Callithrix jacchus: one gene and its partners. The protein of the gene in region 1 purifies or fractionates together with the protein of each later gene. This does not show direct contact. Links are inferred from orthologs where the notes say so. Each region holds a gene or a part of one and is shown on either strand. Other genes may lie near its edges.

Evidence for each region.
Region 2: the proteins of GLMN (region 1) and CUL2 purify together in Homo sapiens (co-immunoprecipitation; 4 studies listed by BioGRID and IntAct, counting the BioPlex papers as one, with this or other methods). This does not show direct contact. The link is inferred for Callithrix jacchus from reciprocal best matches to the Homo sapiens genes GLMN and CUL2.
Region 3: the proteins of GLMN (region 1) and CUL7 purify together in Homo sapiens (affinity purification with mass spectrometry; 4 studies listed by BioGRID and IntAct, counting the BioPlex papers as one, with this or other methods). This does not show direct contact. The link is inferred for Callithrix jacchus from reciprocal best matches to the Homo sapiens genes GLMN and CUL7.
Region 4: the proteins of GLMN (region 1) and FKBP5 purify together in Homo sapiens (affinity purification with mass spectrometry; 3 studies listed by BioGRID and IntAct, with this or other methods). This does not show direct contact. The link is inferred for Callithrix jacchus from reciprocal best matches to the Homo sapiens genes GLMN and FKBP5.

What each region holds. Positions count from the first base shown.
Region 1 is NC_133508.1:130,017,243-130,025,588, forward strand, and holds part of GLMN (glomulin), read right to left. Parts: intron 2,875-8,346; exon of another isoform or gene 2,447-2,874; intron 1,725-2,446; coding exon 1,602-1,724; intron 137-1,601; coding exon 28-136; intron 1-27.
Region 2 is NC_133508.1:34,638,312-34,645,611, reverse strand, and holds the end of CUL2 (cullin-2), read left to right. Parts: intron 1-462; coding exon 463-564; intron 565-2,546; coding exon 2,547-2,663; intron 2,664-4,083; coding exon 4,084-4,215; 3' UTR 4,216-4,660; downstream 4,661-7,300.
Region 3 is NC_133505.1:51,516,196-51,523,499, reverse strand, and holds the end of CUL7 (cullin-7), read left to right. Parts: coding exon 1-154; intron 155-1,463; coding exon 1,464-1,624; intron 1,625-1,802; coding exon 1,803-2,019; intron 2,020-2,122; coding exon 2,123-2,384; intron 2,385-3,058; coding exon 3,059-3,204; intron 3,205-3,335; coding exon 3,336-3,462; intron 3,463-3,543; coding exon 3,544-3,761; intron 3,762-4,016; coding exon 4,017-4,340; 3' UTR 4,341-4,411; downstream 4,412-7,304. UniProt on the Homo sapiens protein: Core component of the 3M and Cul7-RING(FBXW8) complexes, which mediate the ubiquitination and subsequent proteasomal degradation of target proteins. Core component of the 3M complex, a complex required to regulate microtubule dynamics and genome integrity.
Region 4 is NC_133505.1:44,019,210-44,028,181, forward strand, and holds the start of FKBP5 (peptidyl-prolyl cis-trans isomerase FKBP5), read right to left. Parts: upstream 5,737-8,972; 5' UTR 5,467-5,736; intron 1-5,466. UniProt on the Homo sapiens protein: Immunophilin protein with PPIase and co-chaperone activities. Component of unligated steroid receptors heterocomplexes through interaction with heat-shock protein 90 (HSP90).

The DNA of each region.
Region 1 (8,346 bases):
GTACTCTGATATCAAAATTCTCATTACCTGTCTGTAATGGCTGAAGCAAAAGAAGAATACTTTGGGATATCTGCTTTCCAGAGGGCTCTTCAATCAGTTCAAGCAAACCCAACAATAATTCCTTTGGACTGCATAACTATAAAAATATTCACAATTGAACCTGTTTAATACAAGTTGTATTTAAAGCCACATTATTACTATTTTTAAGAAGGCACATATTGGCAAAATGTTATACAATTATTTTTTTGCTTAACAGTAAAATTATTTATACAATTGTTTAAAAATATGCACTAGCAAAACACAGAATCTATGATGGTCAAAACTATAAAAGTAAAAAGAAATAAGAAGTCAACGGATCTTTAAGCTCCTGTTTCCTTTGAGCTTCACCTGTCTACTCTGGAAGTTGCCTTAATAGAGTCCCAGGGACTCCACCAGGTGGTACCTTTCAATCCCATGCTGTAAGTCCTTTGAGCTTCACCTGTCTACTCTGGAAGTTGCCTTAATAGAGTCCCAGGGACTCCACCACGTGGTACCTTTCAATCCCATGCTGTAAGTCCTTTGAGCTTCACCTATCTACTCTGGAGGTTGCCTTAATAGATTCCCAGGGACTCCACCAGGTGGTACCTTTCAAACCCATGCTGTAAGTCCTTGGAGTTTCACCTGTCTACTCTGGAGGTTGCCTTAATTGATTCCCAGGGACTCCACCAGGTGGTACCTTTCAATCCCATGCTGTAAGTCCTTTGAGTTTCACCTGTATACTCTGGAAGTTGCCTTAATAGATTCCCAGGGACTCCACCAGGCGGGACCTCCCAAACCCATGCTGTAAGCACAGACTAGTCCAGAATCTCTTTTGTATTTCTTGAACAGGTAAAACTCTGCATTGCTTTCTAACTGGCCATATCTTAACATCTCATTTACCTGGTTTTTTAAAAGCTCCCAGCTCCCGCAGTCAATAATTCATACAGATGGAGCTCTTTCCAAATATATATTTGGGTATATTTGCACTGATCACTAAGCAGTTTCTTATAATATCCTTTTTCTCAGAATTAATCTTTCTTAGCCATCGATATTGACTTTAAACTCTACTAGACTTTTACCAAGGGTCTCTAAGGTTGTTAGTCACAACTGCTCTGTGTACTACCCCCTATTCCTACTTCCATTTTAATCATTTGCATTTTAGGCTTTCCATTTTCTTTTAGGGAACATACCACAAAGGCAAGAGGACTGAGATTTTATTCTAGATCCAATGTTGCCGAAAGATAAATGTAGCCTTGAACTACCTCTAAACCTTGTGTTCCACATCTATACAATAAGGCTACTTGTTAAAATACAGCTTCCCAGGTCTCTCCCTGGAGATGCTGAATCAATGGGTCTGATATGAGGTTAATATGAGGTTAGACAATTTTTATATCCAGAAAATTTGGGAAATCTTGAAATGGAATTGCCTATCCAATCAATAAGACAGAGTCTTTTCTCCAATGAGTTCCTTTCTGCATGTACTTCCATAAACCAAAAGCTTTTTACCAAACAATAAACATTAAAGGGAATTATACAACATTGCTGTGTGTTATGACAAAGAGAACCTGGTTTTGTTAACCTACCTTTACCAATATATCAAGGATCAAAAAATAAACTTTTCTTTTATCATCATCCTCTCTTTCTTTCCACAAAAGGCATCGAACGACAGGCCCAACAAGATTCCAGCCCATATTCTTGATGATGACCTGTAAAAACATTTTCAAAATAGAGCAAACACTGCCATCTATAGGACTCTAACAGTGTGCTTTCCTATCTTGGAAGAGCTCAGAATAGTCTCTTAAATAGGAAGATGAGACAAGTGAAGCCTATGACATTTCACAGACTTTCCAGGGTTGACTGCTAACAGATATCAACATTTTAAAATAGTGTTTAATATGTTCACTGAAGAAAGGCAAAAGGGTCTTTACTTTTTATCAGGCAAGTTAGTGTTTCCCAAAATTTAAATAGTTCCTCTATTTCCAATAAGAGAGTTAATCTGCTTAAGGCAAATACTTAACATCCACATAGAATTCTGCTCCCCTTATTCATAAAGAAATCCAGCCAATGCTCGTATACCTTTTAAAGTTCCTTGGAGTCTCTAATCAATGTAATTTATATAAAAAGAAGGGATGAAACTTCATTAATTTTCTCTCCTCCATACAAGTGGCTTCTACGTTCAAAGATATTTCAGAATGCCTACTACACAAGTAAAAGTTTATCTTTATAATTAATAATTTATATTCATTATCAAAATCACTGATTTTCAAAAGTATCAACAATGTATTCCACTTCTCTGGGCTGCTTTGTACTTTTACTCATCAGTATTTACCAAGCAAACAATATCATTTTCTAGGTGTTAGAAAAAAAAGTGAGGAACGCACTGGATAAGATCACTATCTTCCTAGAATTTACAGTCTAAAGAAAAAACCTTTGAAAGAGAGAGATCCAAGATGGCCGATCACTAGCAGCTCAGGCTTGTAGCTCCCAGTGAAAGCACAGAGAACGGGAGGATGCCACACTTTCAGATGAATTTTTGTTGCTCACGGACCAGGAGATTCCCAGTGGAGGAGCCCCACGGGTCACCAGTGCGACTCTTGTGGCCGGCGCGGCGGTTCTCAGTGCAGAGTAAACAGGACTGAGTCCCCTTTTGGTCGACGTTTGGGGCTCTGGGAAGGCAGAGTTGCCCATTCAGCTGATTAAAGAAGGGATTCTGGAGGGAAGCCAGACTGGAGACTCACGGGCAGAAAAGCACCAAGAATCTTGATGCCGCTGTTTTAGCTGGCACAGTGGGTTGCTCAGATTTCAGCGCTGGGAATTAACAAGTTGGACGTCCACTCAGAAACCTAATTTGAAAGTCTGTAATTACAAAGACGACAGGTGGATAAATTTACGACAGGAAGAAACCAGCATAAAAAGGTTGAGAATACTCAAAATCAGAATGCCTCTTCCTCTACAGAGGATCACAGTTCCTCATCAACAAGGGAACAAGGCCTGATGGAGAATGAGTGCATTCCAATAACAGAATGAGGCTTCAGAAGGTGGATAATAAGAAACTTCTGTAAGTTAAAAGAACATGTTCTAGCCCAATGTAAAGAAACTAAGAACCTTGAAAAAAGGTTTGACGAAATCTTAACAAGAATAGACAATTTAGAGAGGAATATAAGTGAATTAATGGAACTGAGGAATACAACACAAGAACTACGCGAAGTATGCACAGGTTTTAACATTCTAATTGATCAAGCAGAAGAAAGGATATCAGAGGTCGAAGACCAACTTAATGAAATGAAACGAGAAGACAAGATTAGAGAAGAAAAAGTAAAAAGGAATGAGCAAAGTCTCCAAGAAATATGGGACTATGTGAAAAGACCTAATTTACGTTTGATAGGTGTACCTGAATGTGAGGAAGAGAATGAATCCAGGTTGGAAAATGTTCTTCAGGATATTGTTCGGGAGGACTTTCCTAGCCTAGTGAGGTGGGACAGTGCTTGGCTCAGGGTGGTGCAGAGACCACCACAGGGATGTTCCTCGGGTGGAGCAACCCCAGGACACACGGTTGTTGGATTCGCCAGGGTTGAAATGAGGGAGAGTGTTCTGGGGGCGGCTGGTGAGGGGGGTCAGGTTGCCCATAAAGGGAAGCCTATCAGACTTACAGCAGATCTCTCAGCAGAAACTCTACAAACTAGAAGAGAGTGGGGGTCAATATTCAATATCCTCAAAGAAAAGAATTTTCAACCCAGAATCTCATATCCAGTCAAACTAAGCTTTATAAATGAAGGAAAAATAAAATTTTTCAAGAACAAGCAAGCACTCAGAGATTTCATCACCACCAGGCCTGCTTTACAAGAGCTTCTGAAAGAAGCACTACACACAGAAAGGAACAACCAGTATCAATCATCCCAAAAACTTACCAAAAGGTAAACAGTATCTCCATAATGAAGAATCTATGTCAACTAATGGACAAAATAGCCAGCTAGCATTAAATGACAATTATTAAACTCACAAATATCAAAATTAATCCTAAATTTAAATGGATTAAACGCCCCAATCAAGACACAGACCCGCAAACTGAATAAAAAGTCAAAACACATCAGCACTCTGTATCCAGATCCATCTCATAAGCAAGGACACACAAAGACTCAAAACAAAATGTTGGAGGAAGACTCACCAATCAAATGGAGAGAAAAAAAAATAACAGGATTTGTAACTTTCATTGCTGACAAAATAGACTTTAATGGTAACAAAGACTAAAAGAAACAAAGAAGGACATTACATAATGGTAAAAGGATCAATGCAACAATAGGAGTCAATGATCATAAATATATATGCACCCAATATAGGAGCACCCAGATACATAAGACAACTTTTCAATGACTTATAAAGAGACTTGGACTCCTGCACAATAATAGCGGGAGATTTTGACACCACATTGTTAATATTCGACGGATCAACGAGATAGGAAATTAACAGGGACATTTATGATTTGAACTCACACCTGGAACAAGTAAACTCAGTGAATATTTATAGAATTCTTCACCCCAGGTCCACAGAACATACATTTTTTTTAGTATCACATTACACCTATTTTGAAAGTGACCACATAAATGGAAGCAAATCACTCTTCAGCATTTGCATAGCATTTCACAGATTTAAATGAAATATTGGTTGGCTGTTTGTTATTTTCTTTCCTTATTCCTTCCTGTCTCCGCTGTTAAAAAAAAAAAAAAGAAAAGAAAAAAAGAATTTACATTCTAAAGTCCTTCTCTAAAAGCACGGTGGCTGGCTGGGCAAAGTGGCTCACGCCTCTAATCCTGGTAATTTGGGAAGCTGAGGCAGGAGGATCACTGGAGCCCATGAATTCGAGACCAGCCTGGGCAACCCAGTGAGACCCTATCTCTATTTTTTAAAGTTAAATAAAATGTTTTTAAGCATGGTGGCTCATTCCTGTAATCCTAACACTTTGGGAGGCTGAGGTGGGTGGATCACTTGACCTCAGGAGTTTGAGACCAGCCTGGACATGGCCAAACCCTATGTCTACAAAATACAAAAATCAGCGGAGTGTGGTGGCACATGCTTGTAGTCCGTGCTACTTGTAGGGCTAACTGGGAGGATGGCTTGAGCCTGGGAAGCAGAGGTGGCAGTTAGTCATGATCACACTGCTGCAAACCAGCCTAGGTGACAGAGACAGACCCTATCTCAAAAAAATATATAAATAAAGAAAAAGCAGATCTAACCCATCTGACAAGGAAATAATAACCAGAATAAAAAAGAAGCTCAAACAAGACTAAAGAAAAAAAATAATCTGATCAAAAAATTGGCAAAAGATTTGAATAGGTATTTCCCAAAAGAAGACATACAAATGGCAAACAAGCTTATGAAAAGGTGTGCATCACTGACCATCAGAGGAATGCAATTCAAAACTGCAATGAGGGTTGGGTGTGGTGGCTCACGTCTGTAATCCCAGGACTTTGGAAGGCCACGGCGGGTGGATGATGAGGTCAGAAGTTCAAGACCAGCCTGCCCAACATGGTGAAACCCCGTCTCTATTAAAAATACAAAAATTAGCCAGGCATGATGGCACGTGCCTGTAATCCCAGCTACTCAGGAGGCTAAGATAGGAGAACCACTTGAACCCGGGAGGTAGAAGTTGCCATGAGCCAAGATCACACCACCGAACTCCAGCCTGGGCCACAGAGTGAGACTCTGTCTCAAAACAAACAAAACAAAACAAAAACAAAAACTACAATGGGATATTATTTCACCCCAGTTAAAATGGCTTATATCCAAACGACAGGCAATAACAAATGCTGGCAAGGATGTGGAGAAAAGGAAACCCTCATACATTGTTGGTGGGAATGTAAATAAGTATAACCATTATAGAGAGTTTAGCAGTTCCTCAAAAAAACAAAAATAGAGCTACCGTATGACCCAGCAATCCCACTGCTGGGATACACTCAAAAGAAAGGAAATTAGTATATTGAAGAGATATCTGCACTCCCATGTTCATTGCAGCACTGTCCACAATACCTCAGATTTGGAAGCAACCTAAGTGTCCATCAACAGATGAATGGATAAAGAAAATGTGGTACATATAAACAGTGGAGTACTATTTGACCATAAAAAAAGAATGACATCCTGTCATTTGCAATAACATGAATGAAACTATAGACCATGATGTTAAGTGAAATAAGTCAGGCACAGAAAAACATTGAATGCTCTCACTTATTTGTGGGATCTGAAAATCAGAACAACTGAACTCATGGACATGGAGAGTAGAAGGATGGTTACCAGAGGCTGGGAATAGTGGTGGGAGGCAGAGGAGATGGCTAATGGGTACCAAAAAAAAAATAGTTACAAGTAATGAATAAGATCTACTATTTGATAGTACAACAGGGTGACTATAGTCAATAACTAATTGTACATTTAAAAATAACTAAGTATAATTGGATTGTTTGTAACACAAAGGATTAATGCTTGAGGGGATAGATATCCCATTCTCCATGATATTATTATTACACATCGCATGTCTATATCAAAACATCTCACGTACCCATCAATATAAATGCCTATGATGTACTCATTAGAATTTTTTTTTTAAGCTAATCTAGCAAGAAGACAAAATGATACCTATAATACCGCATCTTGACTCCAGTCTTTTTTTTATTTTTTTTGAGACGGAGTTTCACTCTTGTTATCCAGACTGGAGTGCAATGGCGTGATCTCAGCTCACCGCAACCTCCGCCTCCTGGGATCAGGCAATTCTCCTGCCTCAGCCTCCTGAGTAGCTGGGATTACAGGCACGCACCACCATGCCCAGCTAATTTTTGTATTTTTAGTAGAGACGGGGTTTCACCTTGTTGACCAGGATGGTCTCGATCTCTTGACCTCGTGATCCACCTGCCTTGGCCTCCCAAAGCGCTGGGATTATAGGCATGAGCCACCGCGTCCGGCGACTCCAGTCTTATAAGACAATAGTGTATAGGATATTGTAGTCTCCCCACTTATCTGTAGGGGGTACATTCCAAGACCCCCAGTGGATGCCTGAAACCATGAATACTACCAAATGCTATATATAAATACTATACATGCATATCTGTGACAAAGTTTGACTTATAAATTAAGAGATTAACAGTAACTACAACAATTATAATAATATACTGTAACAAAAGGTATGTGAATGGTCTCTTGCAAAGCAGTTAATAGTAAATCTTTTTATCACTTTTCTTTAATTCACTTTTACAGTTGATGATAATAGTAAATCTTGATCATCTTGATAGTGTCATCTGGCAAAAAAATTAAATTGTAGTCAGCTTTTTGTTGTCGTTGTTATTGAGCTGAGGTCTCACTCTGTCTCCCAGGCTGGAGTGCAGTGTTGCGATCTTGGCTAACTGCAGCCTCTGCCTCCCAGGTTCAAGCAATTCTCCCATCTCATCTCCTGAGTAGCTGGGGTTACAGGGATGTGCCATCACGCCCAGCTAACTGTTGCATTTTTTGGTAGAGACGGGATTTCACCATGTTGGCTAAGCTGGTATAGAACTCCTGACCTCAGGTGATCCACCCTCCTTGGTCTCCCAAAGTGCTGGGATTATAGGTGTGAACCGCTGTGCCTGACCTGTAGTTAGTTTTGAACATTGTCCTATCAATATCTAAACCTCTGCATTTAGCTGACCAGACATTAAAGAAGTGATTCTCAAATTAAGACTAAGCCTCACATTATTTAAATCTATCCTGTTAGCTATTCAAAAGCATGCTAAAGATAAAACACTGAGGCATGCAATGTCTGAAAAATAATTTGTTTATACTTCCCTTTTCCTTCTGCCTCACTGACGTGGTGCTGATCCTCATCTTCTTGCCAGGCCTCTTCTCTCTACCTCTTTCTTAAATTTCTCAAGGTGGGATCTTGGGGCTCTTCTCTTATGCCCCTTTTCTGTGAACTCAGGTAAATTCTTGTTTTCTTCCCCCTCAATTACCTAATCTTTAGGTAATTAAAGTCTCAGAGATACGTGTCTCAGAGATCTACGTCTTAATTCCTGTATCTCTGCTGAGCTCAAAAACCTTATTTTCCAATTGCCTGCTGTATTTAAACTGAAAATTTCTAAAAGTCAACTACTTGTGTTCCTTCAGGAAACTTCTCCCTCTACTTAGGTTGGCTTTTTCTATTCACATTATCATATATTATCCTTTCAGAGGTTAGAAACCCAGTCATTTTTGACCCCTTACGCTCTCAATCAACGAATTTCCTGTATTCTACCCTCAAACCATATGCTGTACAGCACTAACCAGAGGTAGAGCAGAGTGGTTAGGAGCTCCAAAACCATGCTACACAGGTCT
Region 2 (7,300 bases), about 95 Mb from region 1:
TGGAGGCACAGCTTTTCTCTGCTGTCAGGCCATGACAGTGGGTATTTTGTTAACTGCAGCGTTTGTAAAACAATTTGGTTGTTTGGTTTTTCAAAATGGGGTGATGGAAAAGTTATGAACTTCAGTGTTTAATAAAAATTAAAATGTCAAACTGTAGGCAATGAGCTTGACTCTTACTTTATCAAAAGGTAGTATATATAACACTATGATCAGAAAATAGCTTATTCCTAAATATAAACTGCTTAAGATTCTGGCAGATTCAAAAGTAGAAAATAATTGGGTTTTTCCTGTTTGTTTGAACAAGAGAATTTTCTCTTAAATTTAATCTATAATTTATAATATGAAAGTTGTGAGAGTGGAGGCTTTTTTGCTTGATCATTAATGTAGCCGTGTTGCTTGCAGCAAGCTGTTATTTAATGATTTGGGTTTTTATAAAAATAAATCTTTTATGTTTAAATGTAGGAAGATATTGATGCAGAATCTTCATTTTCATTAAATATGAACTTCAGCAGTAAAAGAACAAAATTTAAAATTACTACATCAATGCAGAAAGACACACCACAAGTAAGTGCTTTTAATGTCACGTTGTTTTGGGGGACAAACATTTAAGCATTGGACTTCGCAAGTGTAATTTACATTGAGATCGTGCAGAACTTCGCATAGCAGAGTTAATAATGGGACAGCTTTTCTGGTTTGTTGTTTGCATTTACTAACTTTACAATCAAACAGAAATCTCTGCTTATAGTTTAGCTTTTTCTAAGGAAAAAGGTACGGTTTTGTTTTATTTGCTCTTTTTTTTTTTTCTTTAACAGCAGAGTCTTGCTCTTTTGCCCAGGCTGGAGTGCAATGGCATGATCTCAGCTCACTGCAACCTCCACCTCCCTGATTTAAGCAATTCTCCTGCCTCAGCCTCCTGAGTAGCTGGGATTACAGGTGCACACCACTATGCCTGGCTAATTTTTTTGTATTTCTAGTAGAGATGGGGTTTCACTGTGTTGGTCAGGCTGGAGTATTTGCTCTTAAACCATTGGACTGTGTAACTTTGCTTTGCATTTCTCCAAAAATTCCCATATTGAGAAGTAATAAAATCTCATATTTTTTATTTGTAAAATAAAGTTCTACAGCTCTTTTCTTTCAAAGTAAACTTGTCAGTAGAAAATGCTTCTTAAACTTACATGTGCAAATGAGCCACAAGGGCGTCTTGTAAAAATGCAGATTGTGGACCAGTTGCAGAGGCTCATGCCTATAATTCCAACACTTTGGGAGGCTGAGGTGGGTGGATTACCTGAGGTTGAGAGTTCGAGACCAGCCTGACCAACATGGAGAAACACTATCTCTACTAATAATACAAAAATTAGCTGGGCGTGGTGATGCATGTCTGTAATCCCAGCTACTTGGGAGGCTGAGGCAGGAGAATCGCTTGAACTCGGGAGATGGAGGTTGCGGTTGAGCCAAGATCGTGCCATTGCACTCCAGCCTGGGCAACAAGAGCGAAACTCCGTCTCAAAAAAAAATGCAGATTGTGATCTACTGGGTGTGGAATGAGGTCTTGACTCCTGACAGGCCAATGTGAGTTGGGGACTTCTGCTCTTCGTTCTTTTGACTCAGCAGTGATTGTTGCTTTGGTCTGCGATAGACTGTTTCTCTATCACTTAGGCTTCCTGATTGCCAACCGTGTGCAGTCGTGGGGCTGGTGCAGGATGTGAAGCTAATATAAGGCGTTAGACTCTCTCCACAAACTTAATTCCCCATGGTGGAGACAAATATTAATTTCCATTTACTTTGAAACCTAAAATGGTCAAGATTCCATTTTCCTCTAGGCTAATAAATAATAATTTGAAGTATATAGTGGTATTTTGTCTTTGAAAAGCTGTGAGGAGATCCTGTTAATGTGGCATGGCCTGCTTCTGTGCCCTGCTTCTCCTGTGTTTCTTGAGCTCCGTGGCTCCATAGAGATAGGCCCCATCTCCTGGCTTCTCTGCTTGAGCCAAATAAAATGGCACTTCTCAGCTCTTCCTTTGAAGCCTGATCCGGTATGCATTTGGAGCTAATTACTACAGTTGACACAACTCCATCTAAAAGCATCGTGATACAGATTCTGTAATCACTGAAAAGAAAATGATCTTGCAGATTACTACTGTGTCCTCCTTTATCGCCTCTTTTCCTTAACAGTATAGTTTATAATAATGTAAATTTTTTCTAATGACTTTCAGCTTTAACCCTAGAAACTATAGATGTTTTCTCAGTGGTTATGTGATATTAACACAACATAACTGTATAATTTGCTCACTATTGATTACAAATTTATCATTGTGGCACATGCCTGTAATCCCAGCTGCCCAGGAGGCTGAGGCATAAGAATCACTTGAATCCGGGAGGTGGAAGTTGCTGTGAGCCAAGATCGCGTCACTGCACTCCAGCCTGGACGACAGAGGGAGACCCTGCCTCAAAAAAAAAAAAATTTATTTGCACTCACTGATAAAATGAATTTAAAACACATTCAGTGACTTGACATCTTGTTCGCTCTTTTTTCTTCTGTAAAACAGGAAATGGAGCAGACTAGAAGTGCTGTCGATGAGGACCGGAAAATGTATCTCCAAGCTGCTATAGTTCGTATCATGAAAGCACGAAAAGTGCTTCGGCACAATGCCCTTATTCAAGAGGTAAAAGGAGGGCAGTCCTCAGGGCTTCTTAGGGTAGAGGGCATTGTCGGTGTACAGAGTCAGTCTCTTTCTTCTTAAAGAGGATACAGAAATAAACTGATCCTCAAGTAGCATAAAGAAATGTTTCATACTTAGAATCGTACTTGCTTCCAGTTTCAATATTAAATTCAGATTTGCAGGCTAGGCACAGTGGCTTGTGCCTGTAATCCTTTGTTGTTGTTGTTGTTGTTGTTGTTGTTGTTGTTGTTGTTGTTGTTGAGACAGAGCCTTGCTCTGTCGCCCAGGATGGAGTACAGTGGCATGATCTTGGCTCACTGCAACCTCTGCCTCCTGGATTCAAGTGATTCTCCTGCCTCAGCCTCCCGAGTAGCTTGGAATACAGGCATGCGTCTGGCTAATTTTCGTATTTTTATATTTTTGCATTTTCAGTAGAGATGGGGTTTTACCGTGGTGGCCAGGCTGCTCTTGAACTCCTGATATCGGGTGATCCACCCACTTCAGCCTCCCAAAGTGTGGGATTACAGGCGTGAGCCACCATGCCTGGTGAACACCTGTAATCTGAATGCCTTGTTAGGCCAAGACAGGAGGATCGGTTGAGTCCAGGAGTTTTCGACCAGCCTGGGCAACGTAGAGAGACCCCATCTCACCAAAAAATATTTTAAGAATTAGCCAGCTGTGTTGGCATACACCTGAAGTTCCAGCTACTTGGGAGGCTGAGGTGGGAGGATTGCTTGAGCCCAAGGAATTGAGCCTGGGTGACACAGTGAGATGCTATCTTGAATAATAATAAATTCATATTTGCTTTGGCTTTATTTTAGAGCTCTAAAACTTGCCAGTTCATTGAGTCTTCTGTTCAGTTATTGAAGGAAGTTGACACATCAGATACTCATTCATTCCATAAATATCTGAGCCTACCATATGATAGATGGCCAGGCTGGTCACTGGGTTGTAGTACAGAGCAGCTGAAGATGTGGCAGGCCCTTTTAGAGTTTACAGTTTAATGGGGAAGAATTATGTTATTGAAATAGTACACAAATAAATATAAAATTACATTAGCATGCCCTGAAGGAAAGGTACACAGTACCTTGAGAATGTATTTAAATGTCCTGACCTAGGGGATGCTGGGGAAAACTTTCTGGAGAAAGTGGTGTTTGAACTAAGAGCTGAGAGTTGAGTGACAGTTAAATAGAAGCTTGGGGTTGTGTGTGAGTATTTAATGTTTATTGTTTCACTTAATTATGTATCATTATTAGATTTTGCTGTATCCATTTTCCATATTTTAGTTCCTATTTTCATACTTCATTCTGCCTGTTTGCTGAAATTTCAGTGCATTTGAGGCACTTTAAACGGATTGGTTAAAAGTCATTACTTACAGCTGAAGAACGGGCAGTAGTTTGACTTCCACGTCTCTCTTCCACAGGTGATTAGCCAGTCAAGAGCTAGGTTTAATCCCAGTATCAGCATGATTAAGAAGTGTATTGAAGTTCTGATAGACAAACAGTACATCGAACGCAGCCAGGCGTCGGCAGATGAATACAGCTACGTCGCGTGATGTCGCTCTCCTCCAGCGTGGTGTGAGAAGATCATTGCCATCACCATTTGGTGTGTTCCTGTGGGAAAAGCAGGCCTGTGCCTCCATAATTTGGTCATTTGGCAGCCCCTGTTTTCTGCTGTTTACAACATCACCAGTGCCACGTCATGAGCGTCAAAGAAAATGCCTAGAGATATTTCAAGCTCATGTCATGATGACATTTCTTAAAACTTTCTTAAAAGAATGAGTGAAGTATTGCTGGAATGTGGAAAGTCGGTTGGGTACCATGCTTTTTCTCCCCTTCACGTTTGCAGTTGATGTGTTTTTTTTTTTTTTTAATGTATCTTAAAGGACATAAAATTTAAAAACTTAAATATTGTAATATGACAGATAACCTAATAATTGTATCTACATTAAAATGACAAACATGATACTGCTGCTTGTCAAATAAAAAAAAATAAAGAAATAGAATGCCTTTTTTATGTGAATGGAGTATCAGGTTGACCACAAAATATATAGAGTCAAAGCAGCTAATGGGCATCTTTAGTTGCATTTTTATCTGAATGGTTTAGTTTACTTGTACTTCTATTTAAATCCTACATGAAAAATGTCTAGATTATTGTTCTTGAATGCACTGGCCTGCATTCAGCATAAAGAATGCTTTATTTTTATGGATTCGATATATTGGAGCTAAGCATTTTGAATCTTGAAGATGTAATTTCATCGGCAGTTTCTGGTGGTGTGCTACCCTGCAGACAACGCAGAGTGTGAGCAGGATTCATGGTGACCTCAGTTCTGGCACAGAGAGAGCTTTTCATTCAGAAGTTGTCTTTCTTCTGTTGCATAATGCATTAATTCTAGCATAGACTAACATCCTAGCTCTATGGCTTTCCTGAGTCTTAGGAGATCCTGTGATACCAATGTATTCCTTCCATATGCCTTCCCTACCTGTTACCCTTACAACCCTCCTCAGACAGTTTATATACTAGAGTCACTCCCATCAGTCACAGATATGCTTAGCAATGCATAACCTAAATATCTTTTTTTAAAATAATTTTACATTGCACCCAGTGCCACTTATATATAAATCTCATTATTTTGTTTATTACATATATGTATCAACAGCAGTGTCAGAATACTGCAATCTATTATATTTATTGTCTGTCCACACCATCACCACCACCACACCCCTCTTCCCTCAACACACAAACAAATTTTTTTGTTTTTTTTAAAGTAAGAGACAGGATTTTGCCATGTTTCCCAGGCTAGTTTAGAACTCCTGGCCTCAAGCAATCCTGTCTCTGTCTCCCAAAGTGCTGGGATTACAAGCATGAGCCACTGTGTCCGTTGAACATTCAGTTTTTAAAATACGGAATATTTAAAAGCAAATCACATAAATTGTTTCACTTTTAATACTTCAGTTTTTATCTTGAACAAATAAGGCCTTTAAAAAATCCACAGTGACATTATTACTCCTAACAAAAACAATAATTAACTTAGTATTATCTAATATGTGGTTCATATTTAAATTTCTTATCATTTCGAAATGGATTTTACAATTGGTTTATTCAATTGCATTTTTTTCTAACTCATGTCTCTTAAGTGTTTTAAAAATCTACTGAACTTACAATGACTTCTATACTGTATTTCTCATTTTACCTTTCTTCCAAAGGAGGAAATAATGGCAAACCATATAATATTGTACATTCGCCGTCAAAAAGCAAACCCTTGTTTTGATAACTTGTTGATTGATAAAAGTTTTCCAAATTGATTCTTTTTTTCTTAAATATTTATAAATGTTAAATTAAGTTTTATCCTGGTATCTAATCGTCAAGAAAGTACATTGAAAAATGGACAGAATGCTTGTGCGGAGGTCAAAAGAGATGACTTACAGGAGTTTTCTTCACATCCTCTCTCTATTCAGCTGTAAGGAAACAACTCACACTAGGAAGAAAAGGGACCAGATCTGTTCAACCAAGGCACCATTCAAAAAGAGCAATGATTGGAATTCATTGTAGCACACACCTTCCCCTGCAGAGAGTGCGGGGAAGAGTTGCAGTCTTGTCACGTTAGGTGAGGAGATTGGAGTCACTGCAGAAGCTGTGGCATACAGCCCAGAGCCCTTACCTGGTACCTGGCCGTCCCAATGTGCAATAACTAGTGCGTGTGGGCAAAACAGCTCAGAACTACAAAAAGGGAAAAGGACCAAGGAGAGGAGGGTTTTTTATGCTTCACTGCAGAAAATGCATGTGAGCAAAACTCTCAGAAGTTTTTTAGAAGCCATTAATACTAAGGTAGTGATGCATTGTATAGCCAGCCAGCATGAGACCATGTCAACATGCCAATCCCTTCCCTTTGAAAGCAAATATTTTAATTGCTATTGAAGGTGCTGACTTACTCTAAGGTTTAGCCCAATATTTTATGACCATTTGCTTTAATATAAACAAACATTCTGGGGGTTGTGTTTGTTTTGTTGTTTTTAAGACAGGGTCTCGCTCTGTCACCCAGGCTGGAGTGCAGCGGTGCAATCACGGTGCACTGCAGCCTCAACCTGCTGGTCTCAAGTGATCCTCCCACCTCAGCCTCCCAAGCAGCTGGGACCACAGGCACATGCTACCATACTCAGTGAATCTTTCTATTTTTTGGAGAGAGACGGCTTTGCCATGTTGCCCAGGCTGGTCTCAAACTCCTGAGCTCAAGCAATTCGTCTGCTGTGGCCTCCCAAAGTGCTGGGATTACAGGTGTGAGCCACCATGCCAGGCTTTATCTTCTTTATAACTTACTATTTTTATAGGATTTTGTAACCTTTATATGCTACCATGCTATCCCATGTCTGTTCACCTTGAGTGTAAATGATGACAGGTGCTTCCACCTCTGTTACTGTGTTTAATCTTCAGGTAATCCTATTTGAGAGGCAATGCTGCTCTTTTTCACAGGTGAGGAAACTAGATGAGGAGACTTCTGGGAGTTACTGTTGTAACTGCAGACCCTGAATTTAATTGCCAGTGAAATCCATGGATATTACAAGTATGGCCTCTCTATGTATATAGCCTCTAAAATAAGTAGAAACGACTATTTCATACATAAAGAATAGTGGTTTTTTTTG
Region 3 (7,304 bases), on another chromosome or scaffold:
GGACGATGACTTTGTGCCACGCTACTGTGAGCACTTTAATATTCTGCAGAACTCGAGCTCTGAGCTGTTTGGACCACGGGCAGCCTTCTTGCTGGCGCTGCAGAATGGCTGTGCAGGGGCCTTGCTGAAGCTCCCTTTTCTCAAAGCTGCCCATGTAAGCCTCCACCCTTGCCTCATCCCTACAAACTCCCTTCCTCACCTCCTCCAAATGGCCCACCCTTCCATTCCCATTCTATGATGAACATACGTTAGTATATAGCCACGTCATCAGAAATTCAAAGAATGGAAAAAAAAAATAGTGTCCAGGCACAGTGGCTCACACCTGTAATCCCAGCACTTTGAGAGGCCGAGGTGGGTGGATCATGAGGTCAGGAATTTGAGGTGAGCGTGGCCAACATGGCGAAACCCCATCTCTATTAAAAATACAAAAATTAGCTGGGCATAGTAGCACACACCTGTAGTCCCAGCTATTTGGGAGGTTGAGGCAGGAAAATTGCTTGAACCCAGGAGGTGGAGGTTTCAGTGAGAAGAGATTGCATCACTGCACTCCAGCCTGGGCAACAGAGCGAGACTCCATCTCAAAAAGAAAAAAAAAAGCAAAAAACAAATGATGAGCTAAAATGCAAGAAGCACCCTGGAAAGCAGGGTACAGAGCAGCAGGAGCATGAAGCCCTGGCTCCTTGTGTAGCCTCCAGTCCTAGTTCATCAGGAACACTGCAGCAGGACCATCTTTGTGCATGTAACTTACCTCCTCGTTCCCACCCTCCCTCCCTCCCTCTCCCTCCCTTCCTTCCTTCCTCTTCTTCCCTCCCTCCCTCTCTCACTCTCCTTCTTCCCCGCTTCCTCCCTCCCTCCCTCCCTCCCTCTCTTTCTTTCCCCTCCCTCTCTTTTTTTTTCTGTTTCTCTCTTTCTCTCTTTTTTTTTCTCTTTCTTTCCTTCTTTCTTGACAGGGTCTTACTTTCTTCCAGGCTTGTAGTATTCCAGTCACAGCTCACTGCAGCCTCAACCTCCTCAGCTCAGGTGATCCTCTCAGCCTCCTGGGTAGCTGGGACCACAGGCATGTGCCACCACGCCCAGCTAATTTTTTTTGTATTTTTAGTAGAGACGGAGTTTTGCCATATTGCCCAGGCTGGTCTCCAACTCCTGGGCTCAAGCCATCTGCCTGTCTCGGCCTCCCAAAGTGCTGGGATTACAGGCATGAACCACACCTGGCCTTATTTTCTCATTTTGAATGATTATTATTAGTTTGATTTTTAGGCACAATGCGAAAAGACACTTTCTGTAATTGTTAATATTGCTAATTTATACAGTGGTTAATGATTTTATAAAATAGTTGCATAAAAGCACTGACCACCTTAGGAAGCAGCCCACATTCATATCTACTTTCTAGATGCTTCCCCTTCCTCCCACTCACCTGCTCTGCTGGCTCGTTCATGGCTTTCCTGTGCTCTGCCATTGCTCAGGTGAGTGAGCAGTTCGCCCGGCACATTGACCAGCAGATCCAGGGCAGCCGGATCGGTGGAGCCCAGGAAATGGAGAGGCTGGCACAGCTGCAGCAATGCCTGGAAGCTGTCCTGATTTTCTCCGGCTTGGAGATAGCCACTACCTTTGAGCATTATTACCAGTGAGTGTGGACCTAGGGAGTGGGAGCTGGACCTAGGGAGCGGGAGACAGGATGACGGTGGCAGAGCCAGCTCACAGGCCTGGGAGTCTGGGATAGAGGCAGGCTGGAGTCTCAGAGCGGGAGGCTGTGCCACACTGCTGCCCACACTGAGGCTTGGCCCGGGCTGCATGTGCTGCAGGCACTACATGGCGGACCGTCTCCTGGGCGTGTTCTCGAGCTGGCTGGAGGGGGCCGTGCTGGAGCAGATCGGTCCCTGCTTCCCCAACCGCCTCCCCCAGCAGATGTTGCAGAACCTGAGCACCTCTAAGGAGCTGCAGCGCCAGTTCCATGTCTACCAGCTCCAGAGGCTGGATCAGGAACTCCTAAAGCTGGAGGATACAGAGAAGAAAATACAGGTGAGTGCCTTGGAAGGGATGAGCAAATGAGAGGGTAGGGGGAAGAGAAGCATGGAGCAGACTGGAGGAGGCCATGGCATCTGGGAACCCTGTGTTCCTTCAGGTGGACCATGAGGCCAGTGGCAAGGAGCACAAGAGTGAGAAGGAAGAGGGAGCTGGGGCAGCAGCAGCGGTGGATGCAGCAGAGGAAGAGGAGGAGAATGAGGACCTATACTATGAAGGGGCAATGCCAGAAGTTTCTGTGCTTGTCCTGTCCCGACACTGCTGGCCTGTCGCCTCGATCTGCCACACACTGAACCCCAGAACCTGCCTACCCTCCTACCTGAGTGGCACTTTGAACAGATACTCCAACTTCTACAACAAGAGTGAGCAGCCAGGCCGAGGGGACTAGAGAGGATGGGCTGCTAGGAAAGGACCTGGGGTTGAGGGCAGACCCTGATGTTGGGAGGCTTGATGTGAAAAGAGATGGTCTTTGGCTGGGCACAGTGGCTCATGCCTGTAATCCTAGCATTTTGGGAGGCCAAGGAAGGCAGATCACTTGAGGTCAGGAATTCAAGACCAGTCTGGGCAACACGGTGAAACCGCACCTCTACTAAAAATACAAAAATTAGTTGGGCTTGGTAATGCACGCCTGTAATCCCAGCTACTCGGGAGGCTGAGACAGGAGAATCACTTGAACCCAGGAGGTGGAAGTTGCAGTGAGCCAAAATCGCACCACTGCACTCCAGCCTGGTGACAGAGCAAGACTCTGTCTCAAAAAAAAAAACCCGTAGGGCAACCCTCAAAGACACTGATGAGCCTGCCTGGTACCAGGCTAGGCATAGGATAGCTCCCAGATACCTGAGGTTCACCATGGAGGCAGGCCCAGAGAAAGCTGAGATCTGGAAGCTCAGACTGGGAGCCCCAGTGTCCATAAATGCTGGGGTCATATGCCCTGCAGAGATCAGCAGAGCTTGACCAGTATGCACCTTCCCTCCAATACCAACTCCCTCCTTTCCCCTGCTCTTTGTCTCCCTCCCCATTCCTGGTATGTCTCCAGGTCAGAGCCATCCTGCCCTAGAGCGAGGCTCACAGAGGCGACTGCAGTGGACGTGGCTGGGCTGGGCTGAGCTGCAGTTTGGGAACCAGACCCTGCAAGTGTCCACCGTGCAGATGTGGCTACTGCTGTATCTCAATGATCTGAAGGTGACCCAGCCCCGTTGTACCTCTCTCCCATCTCCCACTTAGTCCCTCGCCTCTCTTCCCAAAACCCTCCGTCCTCTCCTCTCCACTCCTTGGGGAGGCCCTGAATGTCTCCCATCTGTTGTTCTCTGAAGTCGATCTCTGTGGAGAGTCTGCTAGCACTCTCAGGCCTCTCCGCAGACACACTCAATCAGGCGATTGGGCCCCTCACCTCTTCAAGAGGCCCTTTGGACCTTCACGAGCAAAAGGATATACCAGGAGGTATGCACTTAGGGCCAGAGGGGCCTCCACTCTGAGGCAGGGCCGGGCTCCTCATGGGCTCTCCACTGAGTGAGTGATCAGCGTTTATTTCAGGGGTCCTCAAGATTCGAGATGGCAGCAAGGAAGCCAGGTCGAGATGGGACACTGTGCGGCTCATCCCACCTCAGACATACCTGCAAGCTGATGATGAAGAGGGCCGGAACTTGGAGAAGAGACGGAACCTTCTGAACTGCCTGATTGTCCGAATCCTCAAGGCCCATGGGGACGAGGGACTGCACATTGACCAGCTTGTCTGTCTGGTAGGTGGGGGTGGGCATAGTGGGTGACAGATCTTTGCTGGGGTTAGGGGAGCAGTCTCCAGGACAAGGTGGGTCCACATGTGGTGAAGCACCTGGTTCACTGAGTAACCTGTAGGAGTGTGAGGAGTGAGGTCGGGGTGCACCTGGTATCCTTGGGGAATCCTGTCCTAGCTGCTTGTGATTAGAGTGAGTGGGAGCTCAAGGAGAGGTCAGCTGCCTCTAACCTACCACTGCTCCCTTCCTTCCCCACACCAGGTGCTAGAAGCTTGGCAGAAGGGCCCATGTCCTCCCAGGGGTTTGGTCAGCAGCCTTGGTAAAGGGTCTGCCTGCAGCAGCACCGATGTCCTCTCCTGCATCCTGCACCTCCTGGGCAAGGGCACGCTGAGACGCCATGATGACCGGCCCCAGGTGCTGTCCTATGCAGTCCCTGTGACTGTCATGGAGCCTCAGACTGAATCCCTGAACCCAGGCTCCTCAGGCCCCAACCCACCCCTCACCTTCCATACCCTGCAGATTCGCTCTCGGGGTGTGCCGTATGCCTCCAGCACTGGCACCCAGAGCTTCTCTACTTTCCGGTAGCCCTGGACTTGGGATCAGGGGATGGTAGAGCTGGAGTTTTTACAGAAATAAAATGCAAGAGTTTGGTATGACCTGTGTGTGTTTGGCAACTGCTACAAGATTTGAGCAGGGAGGTGGGGGAGCTTTCACGGCTGGTGGGGAAAAAGCCCTTGGCACTGAGGCTGTCACATGATATGCCAAGGGTCTTGTTAGGGTGAGGACGGTAGACTGGGAGAAAGGCAGAGGGAGTCAGGTGCAACTTAGCAGAGGGATTGAGGGGACTCAGGCAGGATGATGGCGCTGAGCCCTGTCTCAGAGGGTGTGTGGTCAGAAGTGCTTTCATCTGGTAGGCTGGAGGCCCAAGCCCACCTTGGCCACTCACTAGATGGTTTGTTACTTGGACAGATTATCGAGCAGGGCTTCATTTTCCTCATTTATGGAATTGGCCCAGTCACTGTGGGACTCTGACAAGTAACAGGCATGGAAGCATTTGACGTGGCAAATGAAGGCTTTGCCAGTGAGTCCCCATTTTGGCCACCACTCCCAGCAGTGAAAGTGCTTCCTTGGTGCCTTCCCTAAGTAAGACTGAAACGATGAAGGTGAGGTTAGTGACCAACATTTCTTACTTCCACAAAGCTCCACCATTTCGCTCCTCTCTTCCATTCCTCTGCCTCCACCCTTTCTCTATCCCTGCAGAGCTGCACACACTGTCATCAAACTCTTACCCCTTGATTCTCAAAATGAGAGAGTGGAAGAAAAAAGAAAGAGAGAAAAAGAGAGAGAAAGAAAGAAAGGGAAGGAAGGAAAGGAAGGGAGGAAGGGGAAAGAAAGAGAAAGAAACTCCTACCCCTGCAGGCACAGCAATATGAACCTTTAGTCCCAGCTACTGGAGAGGCTGAGGCAGGAGGCCAGGATTTCTGGGCTTGAGACCAGGATTTCTGGGCTGCAGTGTGCTCTGCTGTTCAGGTATCTGCACCAAGTTCAGCATCAATATGGTGACCTCCCAAGGGCAAGGGATCACCAGGTTGCCTAAGAAGGAGTGAACTGGCCCAGGTCAGAAAGAGAGCAGGCTGATTGATCAGTAATGGGATTGTGCCTGTGAATAGCCACTGTACTCCTGCCTAGGCAACAGACCCTGTGTCTCTGTTTTAGAAAAAGCAGAAACTCCTACCCCTAACTAGCCCCATAGGTAAGCCTCTACTCTGCTGCTGTTGGGGAGGTTTGCTTTTGCTACTATGATTGGCTCTCTTGGCACCATCCACACTGAAGCAGGGCAGCTCAGGTCAGGCCAGGGGACCCTGTGCCAGGGGTACAGCTCTGTTTTGGCAGGGCCACTGGGGAGGAGAAAAGGAGGGATGACCCAGGCATCTCAAAGCTCATAGCCCAGAGGTGACAGAAAAAGTCTTGGAAGGAGCGGGGAGAGGGAAGAGGAAGAGTCAGGTGATAAAGGAGGCCACAGAAGCCAGACAGAGAGAACTGAGTGCCACCAGGCCTGGGATTAGGAGTCTAGTGGGGGAGAAAGGCCATGGCTTGTGGGAGAATCAGGCTGCTCAGAATGAGGCCATGATACAGAGGGGCCCCAGCAGACGGCTCGTGCTTGCTTTGTAGTATTGGTCCCGTGGTGGTGTTGGTGGCTCTCAAAGCAGGGGCCGGCCTGCTGAGCCATGGCTGCCCTTTGGAGCAGAATCCAGACAGGCGGCAGCAGCAGGTGGGGGCCACAGTAGGCCAGACACATTGGGGTTGCTGCAGTTTGTCACTTGGGTGCCTCTCCACCTTTGAACCAGAGATTATAGCCTTTTATTGGCCCAGGCCCAATATTCTTGAGCTTGCTCTCAAGTGCCAGAGTTTTTTTCCCTTGTCTAGACTTTCCTGCTCTTTATGAGTGTATCCTTCTTCAGCAGAAACTCAAACCACTTCCTGCTGTGGGGTCCGGTAGCCAGCCCAGCATGCAGTGCACATAGGGACAGATAATAGGACTTACTGTGCTGCTTCTGCCTTGAGGCCTCCTCCCTGGGTTGAGCCGTAGGCTATGCCTTGAACTCACTGCCCTTGAAGCAGGAGTGGCAGGGAACAAACCTCTCGAACACCAAACTGAGGAAGTAAGTGGCTTTTTATTCAGCAGGGAGTTGCAGGGGGCTACAGCCTCATTCACCAAGCTCCCCAAGCTGCAGCTTCTCCCCACTTTTATAGGCTTACAACGCTGAAGGGGAAACTGAGGCCGAACTATGTCATTGCCCATTTGCTGGACATCCAACCTTACAATCTTTTGGCTTCATTGATTTGCTAATTCATATGCAGCAAGAGTGGGGACCAGGAGGGGAGGGGGCTTACAGAGACAAGACAAAAGCAACAAGCTGTTGGCAGAGGTGTTTCCAGGATGGAGCCTCGTCCGTGGAGACATGGGGGCATGAACCAGTGCCAGGCTCCAGCTGGCAGAGATAGCATTTATTTGCAGCTCTTTCAAGGTTAACAGATAGTAGAGATGCTGGGAACTAAAAAGGGAGTCATTTTCCCAGCTCTTTGGTATTTTATTTTTTTTCCTTCTTCACCCTCCTTCCCATCTGGAAGGTGGGAGGGAGAAGGTGAAATTGAAGGAGATGGGGGGGGTCTCCCCTCTCACCCTCATCAACCCCTGGTCATCCTACTCAGTCACCTTGCCAGTCTCCCATGGGGTACCTTCCTGCTCATCTGCGATGGAAAGTCTCCAATTCTTTTTTTTTTTTGGAGACAGAGTCTCACTCTGTCACCCAGGCTGGAGTGCAATGATGTGATCTCGGCTCACTGCAACCTCCACCTTCCAGGTTCAAGCAATTCTCGTCTCAGCCTCCTGAGTAGCTGGGATTACAGGCACGTGCCACCACGCCCAGCTAATTTTTGCATTTTTAGTAGAGACGGGGTTTCAACATCTTGGCCAGGCTGGTCTTGAACTCCTGACCTTGTGATCCACTCGCCTAGACCTCCCAAAGTGCTGGGATTACAGGCGTG
Region 4 (8,972 bases), on another chromosome or scaffold:
GTTCAGGCAATTCTCCTCCCTCAGCCTCCTGAGTAGCTGGGACTACAGGCACGTGCCACCATGCCCAGCTAATTTTTTTTAATTTTTAGTAGAGACGGGGTTTCACCATGTTGACCAGGATGGTCTCAATCTCTTGACCTGGTGATCCACCAGCCTCGGCCTCCCAAAGTGCTGGGATTACAGGCATGAGCCACCGCGCCCAGGGAGTTGGCAAATACTTCTAACAGTGAGTGAGTGCAGGGATTAACAGCACAGCATCTTCAGCCAAACTGGCTGTGAGGAAATCCCACTCTACCACTTACTGGGCATGTCGCCGTAGGTCAATTAGTTACTTCACCTCTCTGTGTACCAGTTCTCTCATTTAGAAGATGGAGATGATAATGATAGCACCTACCAAGGTTGTTATGAGGCTTACACAAGCTTATATATATACAAGCATATATATCTATATGCAAAGGAGTCAGAACAAAGCTAGGTCAAGGAGGAAAAGGCATCCAGGCGGCCGGGCGCTGTGGCTCATGCCTATAATCCTAGCACTTTGGGAGGCCGAGGCGGGTGGATCATGAGGTCAAGAGATCGGGACAATCCTGGTCAACATAGTGAAACCCTGTCTCTACTAAAAATACAAAAATTATCTGGGCATGGTGGTGCACACTTGTAGTCCCAGATACTCGGGAGGCTGAGGCAGGAGAATTGCCTGAACCCAGGAGGCGGAGGTTGCGGTGAGCCGAGATAGCACCATTGCACTCCAGCCTGGGTAACACGAGTGAAATTTCATCTCAAAAAAAAAAAAAAAGAAAAGAAAAGGCATCCAAGCAGCAGAAACGGCATGTACAAAGGCTCAGAGGCGTACACCAGTACAGCAAGCTGAGGGAACCAGGAGGAATTCCATGAGGCTGGAACTTAATGTGCAGCTGGGAACAGGTTGAGAGTTGCATGCTGGGCAATGTGGGGAGACCTCATCTCTAAAAACATTTTTAAAAATAAGCCAGGTGTGGTGGTGCACCCCTGTAGTATGAGGTACTCGAAGGCCAAGGTGGGAGAATCACTTAAGTCCAGGAGTTCAAGGTTGCAGTGAGCTATGACTGTGCCATTGCACTCCAGTCTGGGCAATAGAAACCCTGACTCTCAAATAAAAACAAAATAGGGAAGACAACAGGAATATCAGTTTGATGGCATGCCTGTATTTTCTGGGGAGGGGTGGGCAGAGGTGGTGGGCTTGGTGTGCAGCATGTCATGTTTGAGTTCCACTCTTGGAAGTTCTTCTGCCTGTGTGATGTTCCCCAGTCTCTTACACCAGACACACACTCTTAGAAGATAGATACTATGTCTGGCTGGTCACGGTGGGTCACGCCTGTAATCCCAGCACTTTGGGAGTCCCAGGCAAGCGGATCACGAGGTCAGGAGATTGAGACCAGCCTGGTCAACATGGTGAAACCCCGTCTCTACTAAAAAATACAAAAATTGGCAGGGCATGGTGGCTTACGCCTGTAATCCGAGCACTTTGGGAGGCCGAGGCTGGTGGATCACGAGGTCAAGAGATCGAGACCATCCTGGTCAACATGGTGAAACCCCGTTTCTACTAAAAATACAAAAAAATTAGCTGGGCATGGTGGCGTGTGCCTGTAGTCCCAGCTACTCAGGAGGCTGAGGCAGGAGAATTGCTTGAACCTGGGAGGCAGAGGTTGCGGTGAGCTGAAATCACGCCGCTGCACTCCAGCCTGGCGCCTGGTGACAGAGCGAGACTCTGTCTCAAAAAAAAAAAAAAAAAAAGAAGAAGAAGACAAAGATAGTTACTATGTCTTACGATTTCTGTGCCACCTCATCCTTCCTACCTGCCCCAACCCATCCCAGGCACATGCTCTGTGCTAAGGGACTACAGCTAAATTGGGTTTAATGGAATCCAAGCTTCTTCCCTGCCTAACTCTTGAGATCTGATAATTGGGTCGCAAACATTACACCTCTACATGGCTGGTCTCTGGATTTCTGCTGTGCTGCTCTGGAGGAGTCTGAGAGAAGCCACCCTTCTGTTGAAAGGGGCTAGGCTACCTGGGACCCTGCTGCCAGCCCAAAAGCTGCCACATCGACCTTAGGACTGGGCCCTCTTCCAATCCTTCCCACCTCCCCACATGGGAGAGCATGGGCCTGGGGCAACTGTAGCAATAGGAAGAATGGATGGACTGGAGGGAGGAGTGTAGCAGTGAGAGCAAAGACCAGCCTCATGTTTACTGGTCTCACCAAACCTCAGCTCTTTGGAGACCTTTGCTCCTAGAAGTGATGGAATCCTTACCCCACCCCTCTGCCCCCCTTCCTGCCAGGCACCCAAGCAAGGTGCTATTCCAGAGTAAACCCACAGCTCTTGAGCTTTCTTTCATTCCCATTGGGCCATCAGTAGGAAAAACTAACAGAAAAAACTCCCGTTGAATGTAAAGTCAGAGGCAGCTGGGAACCAGCAACTGAGCCTGCACTTCCCCTGCAGAGTCCTCAGCTGCAGGCGTATGATCTGAGGGTGGAGAGGAGCCCCCCGTCACGAGGAAGCATGTGAGTGTGTGTGCCTGTGTGCCATGCATTCATGTCTCTGTGTGTGCTCTGTGTGCACGTGTGCTCATGTGCATGTATGCATCTGTGTGTATGCCCTCATGTGTCCACATCTGTGTTGCCCATTACGCATGTCTGTGTGTGCCCTGTGTGTATGTGAGATGAATGTGCACTCATGGCAATGCCCACCCAGGGGAGGGGCAGGGGAGCTGTGGGAGCAGTGGGGTACATCTTTGCAAACTTGCTGCTGTGGGCAGGTAGGTAGGAGTGGGTTTGGATATGGTTGTGGGAGCAGGAGCCACGTGTCTGTTGTGAGGGAGGATTTCTGCCGGGGTGTTTGTGAATGATGACTGGATGACTGAGGTGGGGCAGCCATGCTTCTGGCTGAGGCCCCGCCTTCTCATCCTTCCTGGGGTCACCTCCCAGGGCAGCCACCTTGGCCAGAAGTGCCCAGGTTTGATGCTCTGGCCTGGGCTGGCATGGCCAGCAGAAAGCACAATGTCTTCAAGGCCCAGTGGAAGGACGACATCAGTCTCTGAAAGCTAAGGGGGCATGTGGAAGTGTAGGGTGGGACTAAGAAATCCCTTCAATTCCTCCAACAGTGGCTGACAAAACAGACCCCATATCCAAGGAAAGCTGTGCCCTAGGATGGGAGGATTGCAAAATGGAGGAGGCTCTGTCTGTTCTGGTAGTGGGGACCTGGGTGACACCACTCTCCAGATGCCCAAGGACTGCGGGGCCTCTGGGGACAGCATTTGAATTAGGTCATAAATGATTAGGAGAATGTCAGAGGAAGGAAGTAGGAGGGGAAAGGGGGCATTCTAGGCGGCAGAAACAACCCGAGCAAAGGCACAGAGGCGGGAAAATGGAGGGTGTGCTCCAGAAGCTGCCTCCTGCATGTTCATGGAATAAAGCTGAGGCCCAGAGAGAGGAAGTGTTTCTAAGACCTAGCAGTAGCCTTGAGGTCCTCTCACTCCAGGTCAGTGCTTTTTGTTACCCTAGAAAGCTTACAGGAGAGCACACCAGGGAGTCAGCTGTTGGTTTGGTTTCCTTTGCTTTCTTATCCCCAGCTAAGTCTCAATCAGGGATCGATCCTTGTTCTTGGCCTTCCTCTGCCAGCAGCTAGCTGTGTGATTCTAATAAGTCACTTCCCCTCTCTGGGCCCCTCATCTCCAATATGAAGGAGGTATAAGGCCTTGCTTCTACCTAGAAATGCCAACTCTGACTCTCTAAGCTAAAATGTGGCTTATTCTCCTATGCCCAGCACCCGGCAGAATCTATAGCACTACACGGGTGCTCAAATAACTGTTTTTGAATGAAGAAAGGAAGGAAAGAATGAAAAGCATCATGACTCTTCCTTAGCACTCTGCTTTGACAGCCTCAGCCTCTCCCCGCCCCAGGCAGGACAAAGGATGCAGGAGTCCCAGACCTTGAAAAGGAAGTCAAGGAAAACAAATAACTTAACTACATGGGGGCCCTAAACTCTGCCTCTGGGTGGATGCCCCTGAGAGAACCTTTCCTTGCAGCCTTGGCCTTGCTGAAACTGTGCAGTGGTCAGGGCCTGGAGGAGGGGCAGGGACCTCTAGCAGACCCAGAGGCAGCTAGGCCTGAGCCAAGACTGGCCCTCCCCTTGCTCCCTCCCCACTCACAGCTTCTCTGCTTCAAGAAGTGTCCCAAGCCTTCTGGTCCCAACCCTGAGGGGTTGGGCTGGCTCTGAAACCTCCTGTTTCCCAGGCCAATGATACCTTCATTTTTCCAGTTGCAATAACCCCTTTTTTTGAGGCCCCCTCCTTTCATGTTAAGAACTTTATTGCTCATTTCCCTCTTCCGTGACAGCAGCTGTATTTCTTTAACTTTGTGAAACACACACACGATCTATGGTGGTAGAAGTCGGAATCAGTTGCCTCTGGGGCGGAGACTGACTGGAAGGGGACACAAAGGCATTTGGAGGTAGTGAAAATGTCTGAAATCTTGATCTAGGTGATGGTTACATAGGCATATATATTTGTCAAAATTCATCAAGCTGTACACTTAAGATTTATGCATTTTACTGTATGTGGAATGTATGTTGATTATACCTCATAAAGTACTGCTAGCATCTAAAAGATACACATATGGAAAAGTACATGAAACATACATGTTCAGTTTAATGAATTATTTAGCCAGCGCCTGTGAAACACCACCCACGATACCTGGTGCCCCTGTGTAATCCACAGAGCTTGGATATAACCAAGCAGTTTCCCAGGGACCCCAGCACCCACAGACAGGGCACCTCAACTCCAGACACCATGTGCCTCTCGCTTCCCGGATTCATGGAAACATAGAGGCCAAGGATGGGGCAGAGCCCATGGGCTTTGGAACCTAGAATTTCCCATCAGTTCAACACCAGGCTTGACCACGATTCCCATTCTAGTGAATTGAAGGAACAGAAAACACACCATTTCCCCTTTCTGGGAGGGGAGTTTCCGTACTGGCCTCCTCCAGTGAGTCTTGGCTGGGGGGTGGGGGTTGTCCCTAGTTAAAGTCAAGGAGAACTGTGCCTTCCCTGCATCCCTGCTAAAAATAACTCCAGGCAGTGTTGCTGCCACTGAGCAGCAGGAAGGACAGAGTCGTGTTTTGCTTTAAACCTAGAAGCAGCTCGGCAATTGGGGGCTAGGGTGGGGTGGGAGAGCAGGCTAGGGATCTGAGAACCCTGGCTGTGCTCAGTGCACCCCCCCCCACCCCCAGCTGCAGCTGGTCTTCCGGGGGTGCCTGGGAGGGGTGTATGTGTTAGCGCATGCACGCGCATGTGTGGTGACAGGGCCTCCCAGTAGCAGAGCAGGAAACCAGGGAAGGCTGGGAATGTGTGGGGAGGGGTCTCTGTCCTGCTAACTGGAGCATGCAGCTGGAGGGCCAGGCGTCACGTCACGTACTCCATGGGGTCCCTACCTCCTCTGAGAAGCGTTCTGTTCCTGCAGCCCACGCCAGGCTCCCTGGGGTTGGAGAGGCTAGTCTTCTGCAGCGTGGCCGCCTGCCCCTCAGGGCTCCTTGCACACACGGGGCTGGAGATGGTTGCTTGGTAGTCCTTGTCTCTGTCTGGCTTCTGCTCTGCCCAAAGATATTGGGAGGTCCTCAGGGGTGGGTGCAGTCCGGCAGCGAGGAATTTCCCTGGAAACGGGAAGTACAAGATGTGTCAATATGGGATCCTAGCAGAGGAGTGAGAGGCTGAGTAAAGGGAAGGGAAGAGGCCCTCCTGGCTGCTCAGTCTTGCTCTCTCCTCCCACCACTCCCCTGCCTGTCTTATGCATCAGAGGCCTCCAATTGTTGGTCTCTCTTTCTGTATGCTTGTCTTGGGTCCCCGGCTCCTTGGAGCCAGGATCATCCTGCAGTTGGCCTCCATTTTCCAAGGTAACAATAAAGAAGAATCACCATTCATTTCACAGGTACCCCGTTCCAGGCACTGTGCTGACTCTGATGTGGATGTTCTCATTTAATCCTCCCAGCAAACCTGTGATAGTGGAATGATTACAATTCCTCCCTATTTATAAAGGAGGAAACTGAGGCTTAAAGTGGTGAAGTGCTAGTCTAGGATCTCACTGGCAGTACCTGACAAAGACAAGGCTTGAAGTCATGATATAGAACACAGAGCATGTCCAAGATGACTGTCCAGGAGACAATAAGAATTTTAGGGCCAGGCATGCTGGCTCCTTCCTGTAATCCCAGCACTTTGGGAGGCCGAGGCGGGTGGATCACCTGAGGTCAGGAGTTCGAGACCAGCATAGCCAACATGTTGAAACCCTGTCTCTACTAAAAATACAAAAATTAGCCAGGTGTGGTGGCAGGCACCTGTACTCTCAGCTACTTGGGAGGCTGAGGCAGGAAAATTGCTTGAACCCAGAAGGTGGAGGTTGCAGTGAGCCGAAATCATGCCACTGTACTCTAGCCTGGGCAACAGAGCAAGACTCTATCAAAAACAGAAAAAAAAAAAAAAAAGAATTTTAGAAATTTGATATCTGGGCCAGGCACGGTGGCTCATGCCTGTAATCCCAGCACTTTGGGAGGCTGAGGTGGGCAGATTCCCCTGAGGTCAGGAGTTGGAGACCAGCTTGACTAACATGGCAAAACCCTGTCCCTACTAAAAATACAAAAATTAGCTGGGCGTGGTGGTAGGTGCCTGTAATCCCAACTACTCGGGAGGCTGTGACAGGAGAATCGCTTAAACCCAGGAGGCGTAGGAGGAAGCAGTGAGCTGAGATCGCACCATTGCACTCCGGCCTCGGTGACAGAGCGAGACTTGGTCTCAAAAAAAAAGTAAAAAGAAATTTGACCATCCTAGATAATTTAGGACACATGGTTGCTGAACTTGATGATTTTGTTTAAAAAAACACACGTATATATACATACAAACACCAAAATAACCCCAAAATAGTGGCTTTACATTCAAAATTTGTACTCCCAGTTGTGATTTTGACCAAGAAACTAACCATCCTGACAAGTCTCAATTTCCATCTCTAAAAAATGGGTACAATAATCCTTGCCGAGGATTACTGGAGAGTAGTGTATTTGAACCCAGCCTTTTTTCTAAACCTAGAAAACACAAAGCTCCTTCATGCCTTGAGGCCTTTGCATGTGCTGTGCTGTTTCCTGTGCCTGAAACCCTCAGCTTCCAGATGTTCACGTGACTGGTTTATTCTCGTCCTCCAGGTCTTAGCTCAAACATAACCTTCCTCCGAGCAGCCTTCCCTGACTACCCAACAGACCCCCATCACACTCAATTGCATCCCTGTTTCATTTTCTTCTTTGTACATATCGTGATCTGAAATTTCCTTACTTATTTTTTCTGTTTGCTTTTTTATGGCCTGTTCCCCTCCCAACTGCCAAGGATATAAATTTCTTGAAAGCCAGAGGCCAGGCGTGGTGGCTCACACCTGTAATCCCAGTACTTTGAAAGGCTGAGGCAGGTGAATCATTTGAGGTCAGGGTTCAAGACCAGCTTGGCCAACATGGTGAAACCCTGTCTCTACTAAAAATTCAAAAAACATTAGCCGGGCATGGTGGTGGGCGCCTATAATCCCAGATACTGGGAGGCTGAGGCAGGAGAATCACTTGAACCCAGGAGTCGGAGGTTGCAGTGAGCTGAGATAGCGCCACTGCATTCTAGCCTGAGCAACTGAGCGAAACTCCGTCTCAAAAAAAAAAAAAGAAAGAAAGCTGGAACCTCTGTGGGGTTGAATGATCCATTCACGGTGCTCAGAGCAGTGCCTGGCAAACATCAGAGCTTGCTAAACATTTATGAATGAATGAATGAATGAGCTTTGAAAATAGCATTATATTTAAGTGACTGACTCTCACGGGCCTTGCTGAGAGCAGTGAATGTGGGCTAATGGGGGATCAGAGGAGAGTGCTTTGGGCCTGGCTCTGGCCCAGGCTCAGCCCTGAAGCTCCTGGGCTGCAGGGAACCATGAGGCTGCCTGGGCTTCCGGCTGCTCCAGGATAAAGGTCAACTCTTGCTGGAACACGAGGTTCTGCACCATCTGGGCTTGCCTGCCTCTGGCTTCATCTCCCCAGGCTCTCCAACCTGCACTCCATGTCCAGCCAGACCAAACAACTCCCAGTGCCCACCAGAGAACACCGGGCTGCTTCACGCCTGTGTGCTTTTAAACACACTGTTCCTTCTACCTGGAACACCCCGCACCCTTGCTCTGCCTGGCCGGTTCCTCTCTCCCTGAACCTTCTGCTCTGGCCACACCCAGTCCCCAATTTCCCCAGACACTGTAATGACCTGTTTTTGTGCATTTTCGCAAGTAACCCAGGGACTCAGACTTCCCAAGTAGCCCATATAGGGCAGTGACCAGGTTGTGTGTCCCCAGTTTGTAGTGCAATACTTGGCACACACAGTAGGTGCTTAATAAATGCTGAGGCACAGTTTTTGGACTTTGGTTCCCAGGGCATTAACTCAATTCCGGGGACACAGAGTAGGTGCTCCATAAGTGCCCACTGGATTAACAAGGCTGAGCAATCTGATACTGGCAGAAGCTTGGGGCAAGATGAGGCATAGGGGCAGGAGTAAATGGAAGACACTTCCTGGGAAACAAGATGGTGTCAGAGGGAAGAAGCCAGAAGGGATCTTGGGAAAATTCCCAGAAGACTGAAAATACAAAAAGCAAAATAGGCCAGGCACAGTGGCTCACATCTATTATCCCAGCACTTTGGGATGCCAAGGTGGGTAGATCACTTGAGGTCAGGAGTTTGAGACCAGCCTGGCCAGCATGATGAAACCCCATCTTTACTAAAAATACAAAAATATTAGCTGGGCATAGTGACGCACATCTGTAGTCCTAGCTACCTGGGAGGCTGAGGCAGGAGAGTGGCTTGAACCCGGGAGGTGGAGATTGCGGTGAGCCGAGATCATGCCACTGCCCTCCAGCCTGGGTGACAGAGCAACACTTCATTTC